Macaca fascicularis: one gene and its partners. The protein of the gene in region 2 purifies or fractionates together with the protein of the main gene of each other region. This does not show direct contact. Links are inferred from orthologs where the notes say so. Each region holds a gene or a part of one and is shown on either strand. Other genes may lie near its edges.

Region 1 (6,953 bases), on a different chromosome or scaffold from region 2:
GTGGTGGTGTTCAGAGTTGGAAGGACTCTAAGGACTGTCACTTAATGACTCTGGGTAAGTCCCTAACTTTGGTTCCACCACCTCCCATTAAGTCAGTAAGAAACAAAAGCATTTTGTCCTCTGCTTGCCCCAGGAGACACCACTGAGCAGCACCTACTACCTGATGCTGCTGGCTTCTGCACCTGCGAAAGGGGAGACTGGCTCTCCCACTCACAAGGCTGTTGGGAGGAAGCAGAACTCTCTGACGGGTGCCACACAAACTAACAAAGCATACACCTTGGTTTAGAATTTTGTTAGCTGAGAAACTTCAAACAATGTACCTTGCAAAGATATATTAAAAACAAAACAAAACAAAACAAAAAACCCTTCTAGAACAATTGACATTAGACTCTGCTGTCCCTTCCAGGATCTGAACTTAGATCTGGAAGGAGGTTTATGGGGTGCATACACCCGTTCCCAATCCCACCCTGTGGACAAGAAATCTGCAGGAAAGTCAAGGTAAGCAACATCCAACCTTCCAATTCTTAGGTGGGAAAATTATCTTTCTTGCTGGGTCTCTCTGCAGCGTGCCTTGGTCACCTCCCCCTTGGTCTCTGTTGCCTGAAGAGCTGTAAGAAAGCAAGCAGCTCCCAAGGACGTTTCCCACTCAGAGCCTGACAGCTGGAGGCACTGACACAAGCAGCCAGGGCTAGTTCAAGTCCCTCTTTGCTGCAGGACCTTCTCAGGCCTCTCCCTGCTCTGAACACAGGACATTCACCTGCAGTTAGCAAGCCCTGCCCTGTGCTGTTATTTTATTTGTCATGAGGATGCAGTACACCGTCTACTATCTGTTGGACCTTTCCTCTAAAAGCTAAGTTTGTTAATCATCACTTAACATCCATATTCCTCACAGTTCTACTGAGTAGCGTCTCAAGTCACCTGTGACTCCTTCCCTCTCCAAAGTTCTGCATTAGAATATTCCACGACTGTACTTTTGGGCATAAAGCAGTTACAAAGGCTTCCTAGTAAAATGGGGTTCACATGTAGCTCCTCAGGCACAGGTCCAAGATGGATGCTAGGGTTCAGTCAGTTTAAGCAGCAGATAGAAAGTGTGCCAAATGCTTCTGCTCTAGAGGGAGAAGACAAGACATGAAACATCCCAAGAAGCTTGTGTGCCGCACAGGAAGATAAAGCTCGTACCTCCACAAAACAAAGAGTGTCCCAGGCAGATGGGAACCGAATCACCTGCTGAGGAGACTGCTCACTACGACTGCTGTGCGAGAGTAAGACACAGTCCTTCACTTTACCCACAATGCAGCGAGAGTAAGCTGGAACAATCATGCACACACTGCGCTTCGGAGAGATTTTCAACACCCTGGGCTGAAAGGGTGCACAACGAAAAGAAAAGCTCCGACTGCTCTGAAAAACCGTTAGTAGCCTTTTGAAAAGGAGAGTAGAGGATTTACTTTATTACTGAATTGGCAGAAATTATTAACTCTGAGCCTGCTGCTATAGGAATTCAAATGCATACTCCAGGGGCTAAAAGAGCACAGAAACAACTTTCCTCGTAAGAATTTCTTTGTCAAGGAGATGGTTGGTAAACACGACTTCGTCACTTCCCTAACTTTCCAGATACTTTTGGATATTAGGTCAGTTCCTGACACTGATTTTGCAAGCAATAGCTAAGTTTGTTAACCATAATTGCATGCCCATAAAGGTAAGCATTACATGACACAATTCTCTGCCGCTTCTCTCAGAAGAGGTTTAATTTTAGTGTTGGCTCTTCAACACTGTCCCCGTTTTTTTTTTTTTTTTCCACGAGCATCTTAAATATGTGTCAACTAAATATCCAGTAGTGGAATTCATCATTGGGCAGGGCAGAGAGGAGAGACCGGCACACCGGCAGCACCTGTGCTGGAGCCACCTGCTCTCACCTGAGCCCACATTGATCCGAGAGAAACTGCAGACACACTGACATGCCCAGCTCTCACCACCACCTCCGCCAGCAAACCCCGTCCACTGCAGCTCTGTTTCTGCATGGTGTTTGCTCAAAGCGAACGGTCCTGTCAAACGGCCCATAACAGCGCTCAGAGGATCAATCACAAAGGAGGCACTTTCCTCATTGCTCATAATCAAGAAGATAATTTCCCAAATCCATCCACCCCATGTTAGTAGGACTCTGCCCAAGATCATCACCAAAGTCCTTGAAAATAAGCGATATGAAATGCAAATTCCATGTCAGGTAACATAACCAGGGACCTATATAACATTTCTGCATGAGCTGAGACACACAAAACTAAGATTTGTTCCGTCCTCTTTTCTTCTGCCTCAAGGAACCCTTTTGATTAGAGCCTTACACAATACTGGAAACTGTGAGGTCACTGGAGTGACCTAATCTACAACACTGTGATCGCCTGTCAAAGTGCCGCCTGATCCCAAAGCTCTCTGAGGTGGCATTAAGGATCAGTGCTAATATCTCAGCAACCTCTCAGACTCTCCAGAAGGAAAGCGAGTGCGTGAAATTCAAAAAATTACCTTCTGGCTCCACAAAAGATGTACAAGTCACCAAGGCTATTTTTTTCATGTCACTAGTTTTATCCTCTAATATTTCAATCTTAAAATTGCAGTGGCACCAGTTACTGCAAAAAGGACATTCGAGAAGGTTTTATATAGCTTGTGCCCACTCCACCCCCAAAGTCATAACAAAAATGTATAATATAACATTTGTTAAAGACAATTACCATCAAGTCAATGTTAATGGGACCTGAATACCAGGGATAAGAGAAGTACTTATATCACAGCAAAAACAGGGCCTTAGAAAAAAACTCATAACCCTTCAATCTTACCAAAAATTGTATAAGTCAACGTGAATTATTCCAAAAACATCATCAGAGTTAAGCATACTGCTAAGAGTAATCAGCCAAGCTCATGTAAAACTACAAGTAAAAACCCCTACGGTGAGAGAAACCTGAGTTACCTGGCCAAGCCAAAGATGATTTTTTTCTTCCATTCACAGCATATTAAAAAGTGATCTCAATGGCCACTTCCTGGGAAGCAGGGCCTCACTTCATACCTGGATGCTACTGCATCTTCCCACCGCCCTGCTCCTGCCGCGGGAAGTATGACCCCTACTGCCAAGAAACTCTTGGAGAAAATATGAGAATAGATCAGTCTTCCCACCCCCACCCCACCCCCGCAACAACACACATACACACACACAGATACACAGCCACACATACGGAGGGGGAAGGGGCGGTCCCTCCGCCAACAGTAGCCTCAGCAAAGGGGCACCCGAGGAAGCGACACCCTGGAGTTAACCCTGACAGTCTGGGTCAATAGCCACCAGGCTGAGACCCCCAGGTGAGGGAAAGAGCCTACTGAAACAGGGCTCTTGGGTAAACGGGAGAGAAAAGTCCTCTTTAATTCACTACCCAAAAAAATGGAGCTCTGGCTTGGTCAGAGACGCAATGGGTACTGAGGCCCAGAAAGGCAACAGGAAGGATCCCACCCTCCCCGAAATCATCTGTCGCTGGCAGCGACCCCAAGAGGGTTTTGGCGAAGGCGTGTCCAGTCACAGAAGGGAGACAGACTCTCCACGTACCCTGGGTACCCGGCCAGGGGCAAAACACACTGGGGGTTCTCTCCGAAGCCAGGAAGGTGCTGCCAGCCGGGAGGAGGGGGAAGGACTTCTCTCATAACCCAGAAGGCTAAGACATGGGAGACACAGGCTCCCCGAGTCATACCCCGGACACCAGTTGCTTCACAGCCCTTCTCCCTCCCCTCCCCCGCTCCGGGAGGGCTTCCCGGGGGTCTCAGGTCCCGGAGGGAGGGCGATGCAGGGCAGCTTCGTCCAGAGCAGTGAGGGTCATAGAGCTGGAGCAGAAAGGGGAGATAAACTCTACCCTTAGCCCCCCGTCTGCTTCCTCCGCCCAGGCCGCACGGAAGCCTCGGCCTCACGTACCAAGCGCTGCCGGGCTGCCCGACCTGCCCCCGGCCCGGGCCCGAGGAGTGAGAGGCAGAGATGGCAGCGGCCCTCGAGGGGAGGTGGGCGCCAGACGGGTCCCCCGAAGCCCGGTGGGCGAGGGGGACAGGAGAGGGGGAGGGTCCCAGGCCCATGCGGCCTCCGTCCCAGCTCGCGCGGCGGGTACTTACGTTGCTCTGGGGGTCGATGGCCTGCAGCAGCCGGTCCCTGATCTGCTGCGGAGACGCCGGAGCCGCTGTCATTGCCTGGGCGAGGCGGGGGTTGCGGCCGGGCCAGCGGGCGGGCGGGCTGAGGCGGGGGACGGGGGTCACTCACTCGCCGGCCTCCGGGAGCCGGAGCCGCATGTTCCCCGCGGCGCCGGAGGGTTAGGTGCGCGCGGGGTGGCGGAGAGGGGAGCCGGGGCCGGGTCTCGGTCCCGGGCCGCCGCCGCCACCGGAGGAGGAGGAGCCGCCGGAGCCGCCGCCGCTTGCTGCCGCCGCCTCGAGAACCAAACTCCAGTGAGCTGCCCCCGCGCGGAGTACTCTGGGTAGTCCGCGCCGCACGCAGCGTCGGCGCCACGCTGAGGAGGTTGGGAGATGGGACGGGCGGAGACGCCAGGCATGGGCGGGGCTGCCCGTGCGCCCCGCCCCGCGCCTCCGCGCACGCGCGCGCAGGCGCACTCACCCGCCTGTGCCGCCCCGCCCCGCCGCCCGGCCTAGGCAGCCGTTGGGAGGAGGTTGGGCGGGGCAACGGTCGCTGCCTGGAGACCCCGCCCCCGCCCGGGTCGCGGGGCGGGGCTTTCTGACGGAAGCGCGCGCGCAAAGAGTCCTTGAACCCGGACGCTCGCGGCGGCTACCTCAGGGCAGGGAGGGCGGCGGGAAAATCCTTCCTCTAGGAGAGCCTTCCCGGCGCGTGACTGGGGGATGAGAGTCGCAGGCTGAGCAGCTGCCGAAGTTTTTGTGAGGGCGAGGGAAGCAGACGTCCACGTTGTGATTCTGCGCACGGAAGGGTCATCGGAGGAGTCCAGGGGTGTCGCCGCGGCCGCCCCCGCCCCTTAGAGAGTGTGGGAATGGGTGTGGTGACGGGCGGGGGTCTGCATCGCCACGCGCGACCCCGATCGCGAAAACGTGAGGCGGCAAAGAAGCCGCCCCCCGTAGCTGGGAACGCTGGAAAGCCGGAGGTTGCAAATCTGCGTCTACGCCGCGGCTTCTCCACCTCGGCGCCACTGGCATTTGGGCGATATTGCTCTGTCGTTGGGGCGGGTCCCGCGATCTGTCGAAAGTTGAGCGGCATTTCTGGCCTCAGAAGCGCCCCCTCCCCCAGTCTGCAGTCATTGCCGCCATCCCTTGTTGGGGCACAGTCCCCCCGCCCCGCTACCGGCAGAAAACCCCGTGATTGAAAGACCCTTCTACCCGCCTCTGCCTGGAGGTGCTGTAAAACTGAGATGCTCATTCTCTTAACCAAACACGTCACAGGAGGAAACGGAGGCCCAAGGTCACCTAGACTTCGGGGTTAAGCCCAGAACCGCAGGTGTCAAGTTTAAGGGCGCCCCTCCTCCCTCCACCCTACTTATTGCCTTCTGTAATTGCTCCCCTCTCTCTGGGAACTCTGTTGGAAATGCTGTTGTGAGACGGGGTGGAAAGGCAAGCTCGGCGGCCTCGGGAGAAATCTTTTTTTTCCCCACTGTTACAGGAAGACCTAGATTTAAAACAGGAGGAAGACGGCTGATGAGAACCACATGTGTGCCTTGGCGCTGCCTGGCACCTGTTAGTCTTGTATTTGTTGTGCTTCTGGGAAATGTTTTCATTTGCAAAAACGGCTGCTTCTGCACGTGGCTATAGTTGCGTGCTTCTGCACATGTGAAAAGTTTTACATCCACTTGGAGGAGAAAAGAAACACGGGCAAAACACTTGTCATTTACTGCTCCCAACCTCACCCCTCCCAGAATGCGGAGCATTGTGTATATGGTGTACATGGTCCAAGTTGGAAACTGGCCCATTCGGAGATAATTCTTTATCTCATTTCTGATAAGCAAAATAAACAAAGCCTTCCTCAGGCATATTCTGGTCTTGCCTTTCAATTTCTAACTCGGATGTACAGTATCTTTTTTTTTTTTTTTTTTTTAAATAAAGGATTACATAGGAGACAATTTATTTTGCATGGGTCAAGTTATTTTAAGAAACATTTGGGCGGGAGTGGTGGCTCAAGCCTGTAATCCCTGCACTTCAGCAGGCTGACGCGGGTGGATCACTTGAGCTCAGGAGTTCGAGACTAGCCTGGCCAACATGGTGAAACCCCATCTCTACAAAAAATACAAAAATTAGCTGGGCGTGGTGGCGCGCACCTGTAATCTTGGCTACTAGAGGGGGCTGAGGCAGGAGAATTGCTTGAACCCGGGAGGCAGAGGTTGCAGTGAGCCAAGATTGCACCACTGCACTCCGGGCTGGGCAACAGACTCTGTCTCAAATGAACAAAAACAAACAAAATGTGGGGCCAGCCATGGTGGCTTATGCCTGGTAGCTCATGCCTGTAATCCCAGCACTTTGGGAGGCCGAGGTGGGCAGATCACTTGCAGTCAGGAGTTCAAGACCTGCGTGGCCAGAATGGTGAAACCCCTTCTCTACCAAAAAATCAAAAATTAGCCGGGCATGGTGGCACCTGTAATCCCAGCTACTTGGAAGGCTGAGGCAAAAGAATTGTTTGAACCCAGGAGGCAGAGGCTTCAGTGAGCTGAGATCATGCCGCTGTACTCCAACCTGGGTGACAGAGCAAGACTGTCTTGAAAAATAAACATTGGAAAGTACTCAACTTACCTGTTTTTTAAAAACTAAGAAGCATTGACATGACTGAGTTCCTCAAGGGCACTGGCTCTTTTTGGTATCCCCAGTAGACAGAAAAATAATATTTGTGGAGTAAGTCAATGAAAGTTTCATCAAATACACGGTAGTGTTACACACACCCCCAGACACATGAATGCATTTCAGTTTCTACAGATCTGGTACACCATGGGTCT
Region 2 (6,846 bases):
TTTACTCCTAGCCCCACTGCCTCCCTCCCTGCTCTAGTAGTCACCAGTGTGTCTATATTGTCATCTTTATGTCTATGCGTGCCCAGTTTTAACTCCCATGCGGTGTTTGGTTTTCTGTTCCTGTGTTAATTCTCTTAGGATAATGGCTTCCAGGCCGGGCTCACGCCTGTAATCCCAGCACTTTGGGAGGCCGAGGCTGAGGAACACCTGAGGCCAGGAGTTCGAGACCAGCCTGGCCAACATGGGAAAACCTCGTCTCTACTAAAAATACAAAAATTAGCCGGGTGTGGTGGTGCACACCTGTAATCCCAGCTACTGGGGAGGCTGAGGCAGAATTGATTGAACCCGGAAGGTGGAGGTTGCATTGAGCTGAGATCATGCCTCTTACGCTCTAGCGTGCGCAACAGAGTTGAGACTCCTTCTCAAACAAAAGAAAATAAAAAAGAGGATAGTGGCTTCCAGCCGCGTCCATGTTGCTGCAGAGGACATGATTTCGTTCTTTTTAATGGCTGCATCAGTTACTATTTTTGAGAAACTTGGGCAAGTTATTAAACTTCTGCGTACTTCAGTTTCCTCATCTGTAACATTCAGCCACTAATGATCTTTATCAGGGTAATGTTAAGGATTAAGTGAGGTAATCCATAGAAGTGCTTTATGTTTAGTGAGTGCTCAGTGCTGGTAGATGGCTTTTTTATTAATCTATTCCTTCAACAGCATTTATGGAGCATGTAAGTGGCAGGCATGGTGGTAAGCTCTGGGAATACAAAGCTGTAGAGAACATGGTTTTTGCCCTCATGGAGTCCACAGTGAGGTTGCAGGGGGAGAGATGAATCCACAGACAACACTAAAGCAAGGTAGACTGATCAGTAGTTCAGGAGAAGCATAGCTATGGTGCAGTTGGCTCTTAGAGGAGGGAACATCAATTTCTGGTCTGGTTCCAGCCACTTTGCTCCAGGTGCTTAATGCATTGATTATACTTGTATGAAATACTTCAAGCATTTCCGAGAGTCAGGTCCAGAGAGTTTGGGTTAGGCAAAAGAAATATGTGGCATCAAATATTTAGACTTTTAAGGAAATAAGCAAGCCAAATGATTAGGCAAGAGAACGTTGTAGTTTATCCACTACCACCCCCGGCCCCCCAGTCACTTCTTCAATTCAGCTTGGAGTGCTGGACCTCCCCCTGACTAATCACTTCATGTCTCTGGACCTCAGTTTCATCAAGAGTCAGGTGAGGGAGTTGTACTTCATGATGCAGCCCTGCCATTCTGAGTCTAAATGCCTCTTTCCCCACAAATTCAGTTCTACAAATAATGTTGAGCACCCAAGCTAGGAATACAAAGACATCCCAGCACCTGCCTGAAGGAATTTCTGAAGCTTGGGGTATAGACATAACATACACAAATGTGACACAAGGCACACTATGACAAGTGTCTTCAGGGAAGTCTGAAGAGAGTTTCGTGAGAGAGGAGGTGAAAGAGAGGGAGTGCCACACCTGTAGCATAGAGGGCAGGCAAGGCTTAGTTTTTAGGAGGCACAGAGGATCTTAACCTGTACAGTGAGGAGGGGAAGGGTGTGCTGGAGGAAGGGGCCGGGGGATTAAAGAGGCAGAAAAGCTTGGGTCAGGGTTCTCTTAGTTGGCTTGGACTGGGGAAGCAATGGGAAGCATAGCAGGACAGAGTAGGTGGAGGCCTAGCATGTGGAGGTCCTCTTCCGACCTCTGTTCCTAGTGTCTGTGTCCCTCATTTGGCAGTTGGGCTCCAATGCCATTTGATTCCTGGATTTAGTTGGTTCCATGCAAATGTTTATGAATGAATAAATATGTGTTTAAGTCAAGCGTGTGTGATAGATAATACCGTCTTTACCCTCCTACCTGCTCATTGCTGCTAGGGATTGGGTTCTATATTTAGTATGCTTTGTGCGTTAAAGGAATTCAGTAAAAGTCTGTTGGTTGAATGTTTAAAAAGTGCTAAGTTGGGCAGTCCAGTCATTATATCCTAAAATATAGGTATGGCCCATAAGTCTGTGTTACTTCTGTGAGGTTTTCCCTGACTTTGAAGTGCTCAAATAGTTCATGTTCTTGGATTTGGTGGTGGCACAGGTAGCAGATTTAAGTGCTTCTCATGGAAATACTCAGCTCAAATAAACATGTTTCCACTCCCATGATATTCTCTGAGTCAGTGTTTTCTGTGAAGCAGGGAGCCCCCTGCGTTAAATCACCTGGGCAGGGAGGTGAGGTGTGTGGTGTGTGTGGCTCTTATTAAAATGCAAGTTCCTGGGCCCCACTCTAGTGCTGTGGAATCAGCCCAGCCTCTGCAGTTTAGTGTCAGGTGATTCCTAAATCTTGAGAACCACTGCATTAAGTCTCTAGGTAAATTTGATGGCTAAACTCCATGTCTGCTTCTTTCATTTTGTAGCCATTGACTGGGTTCAGATTGATGCCAATTCCTCAGTCCTTCATGATGAGTTCATCGCTCACAGGCTTGGTGAGTACTCCTTTTATTAGAAGGGAGGGTACTGTGCCTAGTGTCAGGAGGGGGCTTCCTTCCAGCCTCACTCCCCGGAGGCTTCTGGGTTCTCATTTTGGCTTGGCTGTTTGGTTTTCTTTAAAGTGCTTTTCTGTTTTTTACAGGATTAATTCCCCTCATTAGTGATGACATTGTGGACAAGCTGCAGTACTCCCGGGTATGCTGTGTGATTGGGTGGAATGTGAGGTTTGGTGGGGAGGCCTTGGGTCTCAAAGGGATTTTTCCTGACATTTGGCATCCAGCTTGAGTAGTATTGTAGGTCTGGAACAACAATGTGGAGATGTTGTCTAGAGCCTGGGCAGGCCTTGATCCTTGGTTCTGATGGGGCTTCAGATTGATTAGCATGCAGAACATCAGGAAATGTTGTTAGCCAGCTCCACCAGATTGCCTGTTTACAGTGGAGGTTCTTCCTTCCAAAGCGTCTCTTCCCAGTAGCAGGGGCCTTAGGATGCTACAGGAGTCAACAGAAGGTTGGGGTAGGCAAGGAGCAGAGGGAATGGGAGCTGTCTCATAAGAGCAGCTTCTGGGGAACTAGTCCTGGTGTCTGCAGATTCGTGCTGTCCCCTCACTCGTAAGTGATGCTGCTTAAACATGGCCACACTCTTACCCCCTTCCTCCTGGTCGTGTTTGCTCCCTGATGGCATGTTAACAGGCCTTCATAGTTTGGAGAGAGTGGGATAGTAGTAGGTTACCTTCATCCTTTCACTAGGCTGCATTACATAGCAGCGTAAGACTACTCCCTCTTGATGGCTTTGGGTGATCCAGAATCAGTCCATTTTCTAATATTCTCAAGGGCCATGTCATTTTTGTGATGGCTATGATATATCTTATAAATATGTATTTTTTTTAAAAGAAATATTCGGCTGCATGCGGTGGCTCACGCCTGTAATCCCAGCACTGTGGGAGGCCAAGGCGGGTGGATCACAAGGTCAGGAGATCGAGACCATCCTGGCTAACACAGTGAAACCCCATCTCTACTAAAAATACAAAAAATTAGCCGAGTGTGGTGGCACGTGCCTGTAGTCCCAGTTACTTGGGAAGCTGAGGCAGGAGAATGGCGTGAACCCAGGAGGCAGAGCTTGCAGTGAGCTGAGATCGCACCACTGCACTCCAGCCTGGGTGACAGAGCAAGACTCCGTCTCAAGAAAAAAAAAAAATTCAAGCATAGAAAAGCATGGAGCTAGTGTAATAAATACCCATGCTTCCACCTAATACTAAGTTGTCACATTTTAACATTTTGCCCTATTTGTTTCAGATCTCCAGATTTTTGTTTTTTAAGAAATAAAACAGAGATATTGGTGGGGACAGTTGTACAACCAATTAAGAGCAATTTGGTGACATCTTACATAAAGAGATGCATGCTCTATCACCTAGCAGTTCCTTTCATTAAAATTTTTTCTAGTATTTATTGAACAAAGATGGCATGGTCTCTCTCTCTGGCTTTTTCTAGAATAATAAATACCCTTTTACTTTTCACCTATAGTTACCAATTATTAATATTTTACATTTGCTTTATTTTTCATATGCATGTTGCTATTTTTGCTGAACTGTGTGAAAGTTGCAGACATCCTAACACTTCTAAATACTTCAGCATGCATTTCCTAATAAGAATAGTTTCCTACTACATAACCACACTTTTATTGTGCCTAAGAAGGTTAGCATTAATCTGTAATATCAATATTCAAATTTTCCTAGTTTTTCCCCAAATGTCCTTTATTGCTTTTCTGTTTGTTTGTGGGTCAGTCTTGATCCAGTCAAGATTCATTTGGTCCTTATAGCACTTTAATCTCTTTTCATCTCAAACAGACTCCTCTCCTTTCAGTACATTTTTTTTTTTTTTTGAGATGGAGTCTCACTCTGTCGCCCAGGCTGGAGTGCAGTGGCACTATCTCAGCTCACTGCAAGCTCCGCCTCCTAGGTTCACGCCATTCTCCTGCCTCAGCCTCCCGAGTAGCTGGGACTACAGGCGCCTGCCACCACGCCCGGCTAATTTTTTTGTATTTTTAGTAGAGATGGGGTTTCACTGTGTTAGCCCAGATGGTCTCGATCTCCTGTCCTCTTGATTCACCCGCCTCAGCCTCCCAAAGTGCTGGGATTACAGGTGTGAGCCACCGCGCCCGGCCTCAGTACATTTTTTTAGGTTGAATATCTTTTCATATTTTTATCTTCCATTACATTTTGATTCTCCCATTTCATATTTCTTTTTCTGTTTTTTCAGACAGGTCTCACTCTCTCACCCAGGCTGTAGTGCAGTGGCATGATCTCGGCTCACTGTGACCTCAGCCTCTGGGCTCAAATGATTCTCCTGCTTCAGCCTCCCAAGTAGCTGGAACTACAGGTGCTGTGCACCACCACACCCAAAAAATACAATTTTCTTGTATTTTTTGTAGAGACAGGGTCTTGCCATATTGTCCAGGCTAGTCTCGAACTCTTGGACTCAAGCGATCCTCCCACCTCAGCCTCCCAAAGTGCTGAGATTACAGGTGTGAGCCACTGTGCCCAGCCCCATTTCATATTTCTAAAAGTGATTCTGTCTCAAGGTTCTGGGTTACCTTCATACCTCACCTGTGTGTGACTGTAGAGGACCCAGGTGGGTCCTCTAGCTGCTGCTTCTTCCTTATCATGCAAACATCAAAAGAATGTTGGGTTTTCCTCACTGGTGTGAGGGAGAGAACAGCTTGCTTGATTGCATCCTAGTAACTGTCTTCTTGCCTGAAGTGGAACTGCAATTAATAGTCCCTAACTTGGGAATGAGTCAGTTGTTTTAAGAATGGCAAAATGTTAATAATTATGGAAGGTGGTTATATATGAAATTTTCCATAATAGAAAGGATTTTTTAGAAAAGGTGAGTAGTCTAGAACTTGAAAGGTACTTTTTTCTGTTCCTTGGTGGTTTTATTTTAAATGATGGTTACATTCCTAAGCTGGTCCTCTTAGTTCTTGGGAAGCTGAACTATAGAGTGTGAAAGCATCCTCCTCTGCCTCATAGCCTTGGTTATCTGAGGAAGAGTAGTTCAAGAGCCAGAGGGAGATGTTAGCAGTGTGTCTCCAGAGGTGGCCTTGCAGCTGGTGGGAGTGGGAAGGAAATGTGGGTGCCAATGTATGTATAAGTTGTCTCTAAACTTGGGCAGTCCATGAGAATGGTATACCAGATTGTAACAGCCCACAAGAACCTGGAGACTGACGAACCCCTTTTTACAGGTGAAGAAACTTAAGGAACTGGGCATTAGATGCAGGGAACCAAGACAAGGAGCCAAGGCAGGAGTTGCCATCTCCCTGTAAACTCATTCCTGCTTCTCTTCCTACCTTAGGACTGCACATGTGAGGAGTTCTGCCCCGAGTGCTCAGTGGAGTTCACCCTCGACGTGCGGTGCAATGAAGACCAGACGCGACATGTCACCTCTCGAGACCTCATCTCCAACAGCCCCCGGGTCATTCCGGTCAGTGCAGGAGAGCAGCCTCTTTTCCCTGGGATCTTTTCTCTTCTTTTGCTGGCTCCAGGTGGGCTAGACTGGGGTTGATCCTTATCAAATGTTGGCATTCCCTGTTACCTTCTGCCTTAATCTGATCCCTAGAAGTGCTAATTCTAGATTCTTCTTGGGCATCATTGCATGGTTAGCATTGTTGCTGCTGCACACCCTCTGTCACCCAGGGACCCTTTTAAAGGCCATGGAATTGTTCTGCCTGAGGCCATCACCACACCATGAAGTGGGGTTGGAGTCCTGGGGGCATCTGTGCCACCACCTCGTCAGGTGCTCCTTCCCTGATTGACAGATTGCAGTCTAGAAGTGCTGGGATATGGATGCCAGAGGAGGTGACTGGGGAGGTGAGCAACTAATGAATGCCTGGTGGACTCCCTACAGGTGACATCCCGGAACCGAGATAATGACCCCAATGACTACGTGGAGCAGGATGGTGAGTCTTCCTGATCTGTCACTCTGTGGGCCAGCGGGAAGCAGAGACCAGACACAGCCTCTCGTGCTGCCTGGTCTCCTCGCAAATTGGCTTTAGACCCATTTTTCCAGATGTGTGTGGTCTTGCAGTGGCACTCCAAGTCAGAATTTGGAGAACCATGTCTCTCCTGGACCTTGACTGACTTGTGCCTCTCCCTGCAGACATCCTCATCGTCAAGTTGAGAAAGGGCCAGGAGCTGAGACTTCGAGCCTATGCCAAAAAGGGCTTTGGCAAGGAGCATGCCAAGTGGAACCCTACTGCAGGGGTGGCTTTTGAATACGATCCAGACAATGCCCTGAGGCACACAGTGTACCCCAAGCCTGAGGAATGGTATGTTCCCCTTAGGAGTGATGGCAGGCATTTGGGGT
Region 3 (6,949 bases), on a different chromosome or scaffold from region 2:
AAGATGCTAACCCTAGCACTGCTGGTCATAGCAAGAATGAGAAAACCACCTAGAAGCCCATCAACAGAAAACCAGTTACATCAGTCATGTTGCATCCACAAGGCGCAATTTTCTGCAGCTGCCTTAATGAGGTAGATCTTTATGTGCAGTATGGAAAGGTGGCCAAAATAGACTAATCAGTGAAAAAAGTCAAGTACATATACATGTTTGAAATTCCATTCATATGTAATTCCCAGAAGGAACTTAGGAAAGTATTAATAGCAGTTACTACAGGTGAGGGGACTTGGGGGAAGGAACCCTTTTTCCATTTTCCATTTCTCTGTACTTCTAAACTTGCAGTTGTTACTTTTATTAAATAATTTTTCAAAAATTCTGAATTACTTATGAGAACAAGAAAGGCTAAATTCACTACTTCAGGTTTTACCTCCTTACTCATCCCCTGTGCAAGAAGTAAAAAAAATAACAAAAGGGCCGGGCGCGGTGGCTCAAGCCTGTAATCCCAGCACTTTGGGAGGCCGAGACGGGCGGATCACGAGGTCAGGAGATCGAGACCATCCTGGCTAACACAGTGAAACCCCGTCTCTACTAAAAAATACAAAAAAACTAGCCAGGCGAGGTGGCGGGCGCCTGTAGTCCCAGCTACTCGGGAGGCTGAGGCAGGAGAATGGCGTAGACCCGGGAGGCGGAGCTTGCAGTGAGCTGAGATCCGGCCACTGCACTCCAGCCTGGGCGACAGAGCGAGACTCCGTCTCCAAAAAAAAAAAAAAAAAAAATAACAAAAGGATCACTGGGGAAGTTATAGGAAAGGAAGGGACCCAGGGCCAGAGAGCACCACCTGGGTGGACTGGACACGATCCTAGCCCTCATCTCCGCCCGCCACGACTGTGTCTTGACTGGCTTCCAGCCTGACAGTTGCACTAGCTCCCCATCCCTCAGAAGACCCCTGCACTGTTTCCTGGCTCTTCCCTCCTCCCCAGTCCCCTCTTCCTGCCTTGGATGTATGCTCAGCACCACCAAGCTAGAAGCTGACTCCCATGAGTAGATGCTATTTCTTGGCTTCGTGTCCTTATATGTTTTTCCTATACCACCCTTCCTCCTGCCTCCCTTTCCTAATTGAAGACTCATGTTGGCATCAATCTCACCAAGCCTTCTGTCTCCCCCAGGCTTCACGTGGTCTCCTCTCCCTTCCTCCTCTGCCCTTATTCCTCCCTCATTAGCCTATAAACTCAAAAGACACGCCTATACTGAAGGTTTTCAGGTTGGATCCTAGCCTCTTCTCATATTTACAGCTGCAGAACCACTCCATTCCTTTGCAGCTACTGTTCCCTCCAAGTGGCTTTTTCTGCTCTTCTGTCTTGTCTTTCTCTTTTTTCCTCTCTTTCTCTCTTTCTTTCTTCTTTGAGACAGAGTCTATGTCACCCAGGCTGAAATGTAGCAGTGTGATCATGGCTCACTGTAGCCTCAGCTCCCTGGGTTCAAGCTATCCTCCCATCTCAGCGTCCCCAAGTGCTGGGCTTGCAGACAGACATGAGGCACCGCACCTGACCCGTGTCTTTCTTACCAGGGGGTTTCTTCCTATGCTTAGTGGCCTTGGCCATCCACTCATATGTTTAAGAATAAAACATTAAAAGGCTTAGTGGAAGCTCTGCAAATGAGTGATGCTTGTTCATTTTCTCAGAATTAATTGACTAGGCTTTTTTTTTTTTTTCCAATGTCTTTTCTCTTAATTGGTCACACACGATAGAGAGGGCACTTCCACTCTCTTTGGCTGCCAATCTAGAAGCCAGGTGGGGGAAGGCTCGAGTGGGGTCTCTCTTCAGACTGCGAACTTTCTCTTAATCCCTCTTTTCAGTTATGATTCCCCCTACCTACCCCTGCAGTGTGCCTGTTGTCCCCCAGTCCAGGTACTCTCTGGCTTATTTGTTCCTAAGAATAAATCTTGGGAGAGTAACCTTTTAACCACCCACCAATTTAGAAGAAGGGTAGTCACCTGGCCGCTTGGAAGGGATGGGAGGTGGGACAGGACTGCTTCTTAAACAGACTTCAAGTAATCATCCTGTTCTTAGACCCACCTTCACCCCTATTTCCAGGGGGTCCTTGCACTAGAGTTCCTGAGATCTGGGGGTAGGCCATGTTTAACAAGCCAGCTGCTTAGGAGTTGGTAGATGAATTAGCACTGGTCATTCACTTTGTAGCGATCATCTCCTGTCCTATTCTTTTCGGTTTTATGCTTTTTATTTTTGAGATAGGGTCTCGTTCTGTCACCCTTGCTAAAGTACAGTGGCATGATCTGGGTTCAAGTGATCCTCCCACTTCAGCCTTCCAAGTAGCCAGGACTGCAGGCACACACCACGCCTGGCTAATTTTTTTTTTTTTGTATTTTTTGTAGGGATGGGGTTTTGCCATGTTGCCCAGGCTGGTCTTGAACTCCCAGGCTCAAGCGACCAGCTCACCTCAGCCTCCTAAAGTGTTGGGATTACAGGCATGAGCCACTGCGTCTGAAGGTTTTATGTATTTTTTTTTTAAGTCCCTTCTGTGTCCCTTTAGACGAAACAGAGACAAGCACATGTGATCAGCCCACTAGGTTTCACAGGTACGCTCTTGAGTACATCTCCCAACAATCCTATGACATAAGCATTCCCATTTCATAAGAGAAAAACAGGCTCAGAGAAGCTAAGCTACTTGCCCAGGTCACCCAGTCAGCACATTATAGAGCTATTACATAATCTAAACCTATCTTTTGAGGTCCACTATGGACATATTAGAGATAAGAAGATTATGGCCTAGAAAGGTTAGACATTTATATCAATATTAGAAGGCATGAAAATGTCAGTATACAGATTTGAACTCAGGACTGTCTAACTTCAAAGCCTCTTCTCTGTAGTATAACTTACTACTACATCTTTAAGGCCAGCCCAATCCAGCTGCTTTACCAGGGCTCAAGAATATACTCTTGGGGGGTTCAAGAGCTGTCTTTGTGAATGTGTACATTTTGTGTTTTCCTTTTTCCACATTTTTCTTAAAACCAGTAAACTGGGGTTAATCTGACTAAACCCTTTATAATCCGGCACTGCCCTGGGATTATAGGGGCTCCATATGTATTTCTGTCTGTGATCATTATCACAGGCTCACAAAAACTGAACAGGCTGTCTTATCCCAGAAACATTTTTTTAAATTTATTTATTTATTTATTTTTGAGACAGAGTCTTGCTCTTGTTGCCCAGGCTGGAGTGCAATGGCATGATCTCGGCTCAATACAACCTCCACCTCCCAGGTTCAAGTGATTCTCCCGCCTCAGCCTCCCGATTAGCTGGGATTACAGGCACCCACCACCACACCTGGCTAATTTTTGTTTTTAGTAAGAGACAGGGTTTCACCATGTTGGCCAGGCTGGTCTCAAACTCCTGACCTCGTGATCCGCCTGCCTTGGCCTCCCAAAGTGCTTGGATTACAGGCATGAGACACCACGCCCGGCCCTTATAAACAGTAAACACCAAGTGAAGCCAAATGAAGCCAGGGTCTAATGTGAGAACAAAGCCTTTGTAGTTATTTGAAAAGTGGCAGAAGAGCATCAGGTCATCCCACAGCAAGTGAATCTAGTTTGCTTAAACTCAAAAGTGGGTGGGCCACTAACGGTCAAGACCTTCACGTTGTAACAATTCCGTTTCAGTAAAACAGTGAAGAGCACATTCATGTTCACCTGAATGTTACTGGATTCGTAATTTTCTTTTAATTTACTTTGTGGTCTTTAATGGCTGAATAAGAGTTATAAGCCTAAGGGTTTACACCTACTATCACGTGGATATAGAGTGAAGTAACATAATGAAAATAATTTACAGCCTAGGCAACACGACTAAATTCCATCTCTACAAAAAGTACAAAAATTCGCTGGGTGCTGTGGCTCATGCCTGTGGTTCCGGTTACTTGGGAGGCTGAGGTGGGAGGATGGCTTGAGGCCTGGAGGTTGAGGCTGCAGTGAGACGAGATCACGCCAATGTACTCCAGTCCGGGTGACAGAGCGAGACCCTGTCTCAAAAAAAATAATAATTTAGGCAAACACGGGGATCAGTATAATAATTTAGGCAAACACGGGGATCAGTAAGACTTTCGTGCTTTTGTTTTTGGTTTTTCCTTTACAGAGTCACTTTGAAAACTCAGGCTACCCTAAAGGCTGGCCAAAAGGATGACAATTATCTCCTTTGGTACTGTTAGAACAAAGTCAGTACAGGTGGGTCTAATCATCTCAGGCAACTTCTGTGTTTTTGCTTAGTCTAATATTTCCCATCGCCACCGCTCCCCTCTCAATCTTTTTGAATTATGGGTTATTCCCAATCATGTCTTTTTTTTCCTTCTATGCCCCTTTTACTGTGTCCATCCCATAGCACTTGGCAGTGTCCCACACAGGGAAGATGATGCTTATCTGTTGAGTCTGTTGAAATAAGGAACTAAAGTGAGTATTACTAACATTAAAGGTGAGAAAACTGAGGCTTAAAGAGATTTAATTTGCTCAAGATCGATGGGATGCACGTTTGAGCCGCTGGACAAGAGTCTGTATGTAGTCTCTAAGCTGGCTTCATTCTTAAGGATATCGCACCTCTCGGGGCTCAAATCGTTTGCTTAACTCATGGAATGTCTCTGTGGTCTTGGGAAAGGCCTCTTCCCGCTCTGGGTCTGAGTTTCCCCATCTGCGAAACGGGGGCGTGCCCTAGAGCGCCAAGGCCTCTTGAAGCTCTGAAACGGCTGAGACGAGAAGCTGGAGGGAGTATGGGGCCTGGTCCTCTCCTAGGTTCTTACCATTTGATGATGCTGTGAACCAAAGGTAAAAAGGAGTAGTTCTCTTCCTCCCTCGCGCGGGCAGGTGACTGAGGCCGTGGCGCCGGCGACTGCTGCGGCTGAGGCGCAGGGACAGGCGGCGGCTGAGGGGGCGGCAGCGGCTTGGTGTCAGGCAGCGGCTGGTCGGACGTTGGCGGCAATGCATCCTCCGCCTGTCGCCCGGCTGCCACCCCAGCAGAGGCCATGGCTCCGGGGTTAGGTTAACCCAGAGGTCGGGTCGCCGACAGCGTCGCGAACTCTATACGTCACCACCGCGCGCCCTGCAGGGGCGCAGCGTGGAGGAAGGCTCTGAGCATGCGCACTGGGCACTCGGCCGGCAACGGGGCGGAGGCGGGGTGGGGAGACTGTTGCTAGGCGACGGGCCGTGGGTGGGTCTGGGGTGCCTGGTTTTGGGTTGAGTCAAGACCCAAAATTATTTAAATATTATTAAATAGTGAGAAATAGGGGATTTATTTCAGAAATAACAATTTTTTTTTTTGAGACGGAGTTTCGCTCTTGTTGCCCAGGCTGGAGTGCAGTGGCGTGATCTCGGCTCAAAGCAACCTCCGCCTCCCGGGTTCAAGTGATTCTCCTCCCTCAGCCTCCCAAGTAGCTGGGATTACAGGCATACACCACCACGCCCGGCTAATTTTGTATTATTAGTAGAGACGGGGTTTCTTCATGTTGATCAAGCTGGTTTCGAACGCCCCACCTCAGGTGATCCGCCCTCCTCGGCCTCCCAAAGTGCTGAGATTACAGGCGCAAGCCACCGCACCTGGCCATAAATAACAATCTTCTTATTCCTATTCACACGATGAAGAGGGCCCCAAAGCCACAAACACAGGAAGCCTTGAGGTCAGTAAGGCGCAGCCTGGCCCAGTGCACCCAAGTCTGGAGAGGAACCACTGGACCTGCAGGAGGCGTAGACAGCACTTACCTGCTGGCTGAGGCACCAAACCCGGCCCGGCCCACAGTGCGAGACATCGAGACCTCCTGCTTAGCCCTAAGGACGCAGAGGCAAAGGGATTGCGGTCCCTTCAGTGCTGCATGGCTGCTGAGAGTCTGATAATTCAACTCAACACACTTTTAGTATGCACCTGCTGGATGGCCAGGTGTAATGTGTGGTTGCAGGGAGGCTGTCCTTGCTTTCAATACAAGGTAGAGGGGATTCGTGCCAGGAATAAATATCATATCCTGGAAGAACGACAAAGTCAGGTACGCTCCATACCTTCGGGCCAGTTCCTCAAACCCCTAGGTCCCAGTTTCCTCACCCCTAAAATCATATTTAGTTCAGAGTCATGGCAGAGCCTAAACTGCATTCTAACTTCACATTCGTGGCTGACCCCAAAAGGTCTTGTTGGCATGAGGACTCCCTAGGATCATAGGCCAAAGATGGGTTTATGGTTATGCTTCTCAAAACAAGTTTGCTATGAGGGCTAAGTAGCAATTTTCTGCGCAATGGGGACAGCCACCCTAAGCTTAGCTAGTTAGAAGACATGAGTGGGGAAAGCTGTCAACTGGCGAGCCCATTCTGCTGTAATCCACCATCATGGGCAGTGCAGAGAGGCGAGGAGGTCCACATCCACATAGTACTATGAACAGGAGCCTTAAGAGCAAGGTGGCCAGGGAAAGGATCACTGCTGATATTTTCAGGCACATTGGGAGGGCTGTGTGGAGGCAGATCCTTGCCCAGTAGGACCATAGACAGAAGTGCTGTTGGAGGGTCCGCTGTACAGGTAAAGGGCCTCAGCACAGCTCTCTGCAGCAAGAGCTGCCCACGATGCCCCAGAGAGAGAGCAAAGGGAGGCAGTGGGTTGCAGGGTTTTCTTCCTTCTAACCATGAACCTCTCCAACTAAGGGAAAGTCCAGGAGTTCTGGTAGAGCATGGAGGAGAAAAAGGCCTGTTAGAATAGGGCCAGATGTGCTTGAAGAGACTGTATACCCTTAGAGTCATCTGGGGAAAGATAATATAGTAATAGTAATAATAATAATAATAGTAATTACCACAACTACCATGGAATAAAAGTAGATACAGGGAACAGAGTTACAGTCACTGTCTCAATCCACAAAAAGAGGTCTAGAACATGGATGTCAGGATCCCCATTTTCTAGACAAGAAAACTAAGACTTACAATGGT

What was found.
Region 1: the proteins of POLR2C (region 2) and MED26 purify together in Homo sapiens (affinity purification with mass spectrometry; 3 studies listed by BioGRID and IntAct, with this or other methods). This does not show direct contact. The link is inferred for Macaca fascicularis from reciprocal best matches to the Homo sapiens genes POLR2C and MED26.
Region 3: the proteins of POLR2C (region 2) and MED9 purify together in Homo sapiens (affinity purification with mass spectrometry; 3 studies listed by BioGRID and IntAct, with this or other methods). This does not show direct contact. The link is inferred for Macaca fascicularis from reciprocal best matches to the Homo sapiens genes POLR2C and MED9.

The regions. Positions count from the first base shown.
Region 1 is NC_088393.1:16,960,475-16,967,427, forward strand, and holds the start of MED26 (mediator of RNA polymerase II transcription subunit 26), read right to left. Parts: upstream 4,461-6,953; 5' UTR 4,204-4,460; coding exon 4,132-4,203; intron 1-4,131. UniProt on the Homo sapiens protein: Component of the Mediator complex, a coactivator involved in the regulated transcription of nearly all RNA polymerase II-dependent genes.
Region 2 is NC_088394.1:53,563,749-53,570,594, forward strand, and holds part of POLR2C (DNA-directed RNA polymerase II subunit RPB3), read left to right. Parts: intron 1-2,414; coding exon 2,415-2,483; intron 2,484-2,629; coding exon 2,630-2,682; intron 2,683-5,835; coding exon 5,836-5,964; intron 5,965-6,387; coding exon 6,388-6,439; intron 6,440-6,639; coding exon 6,640-6,808; intron 6,809-6,846. UniProt on the Homo sapiens protein: Core component of RNA polymerase II (Pol II), a DNA-dependent RNA polymerase which synthesizes mRNA precursors and many functional non-coding RNAs using the four ribonucleoside triphosphates as substrates.
Region 3 is NC_088390.1:17,576,794-17,583,742, reverse strand, and holds the start of MED9 (mediator of RNA polymerase II transcription subunit 9), read right to left. Parts: upstream 5,053-6,949; 5' UTR 5,019-5,052; coding exon 4,795-5,018; intron 1-4,794.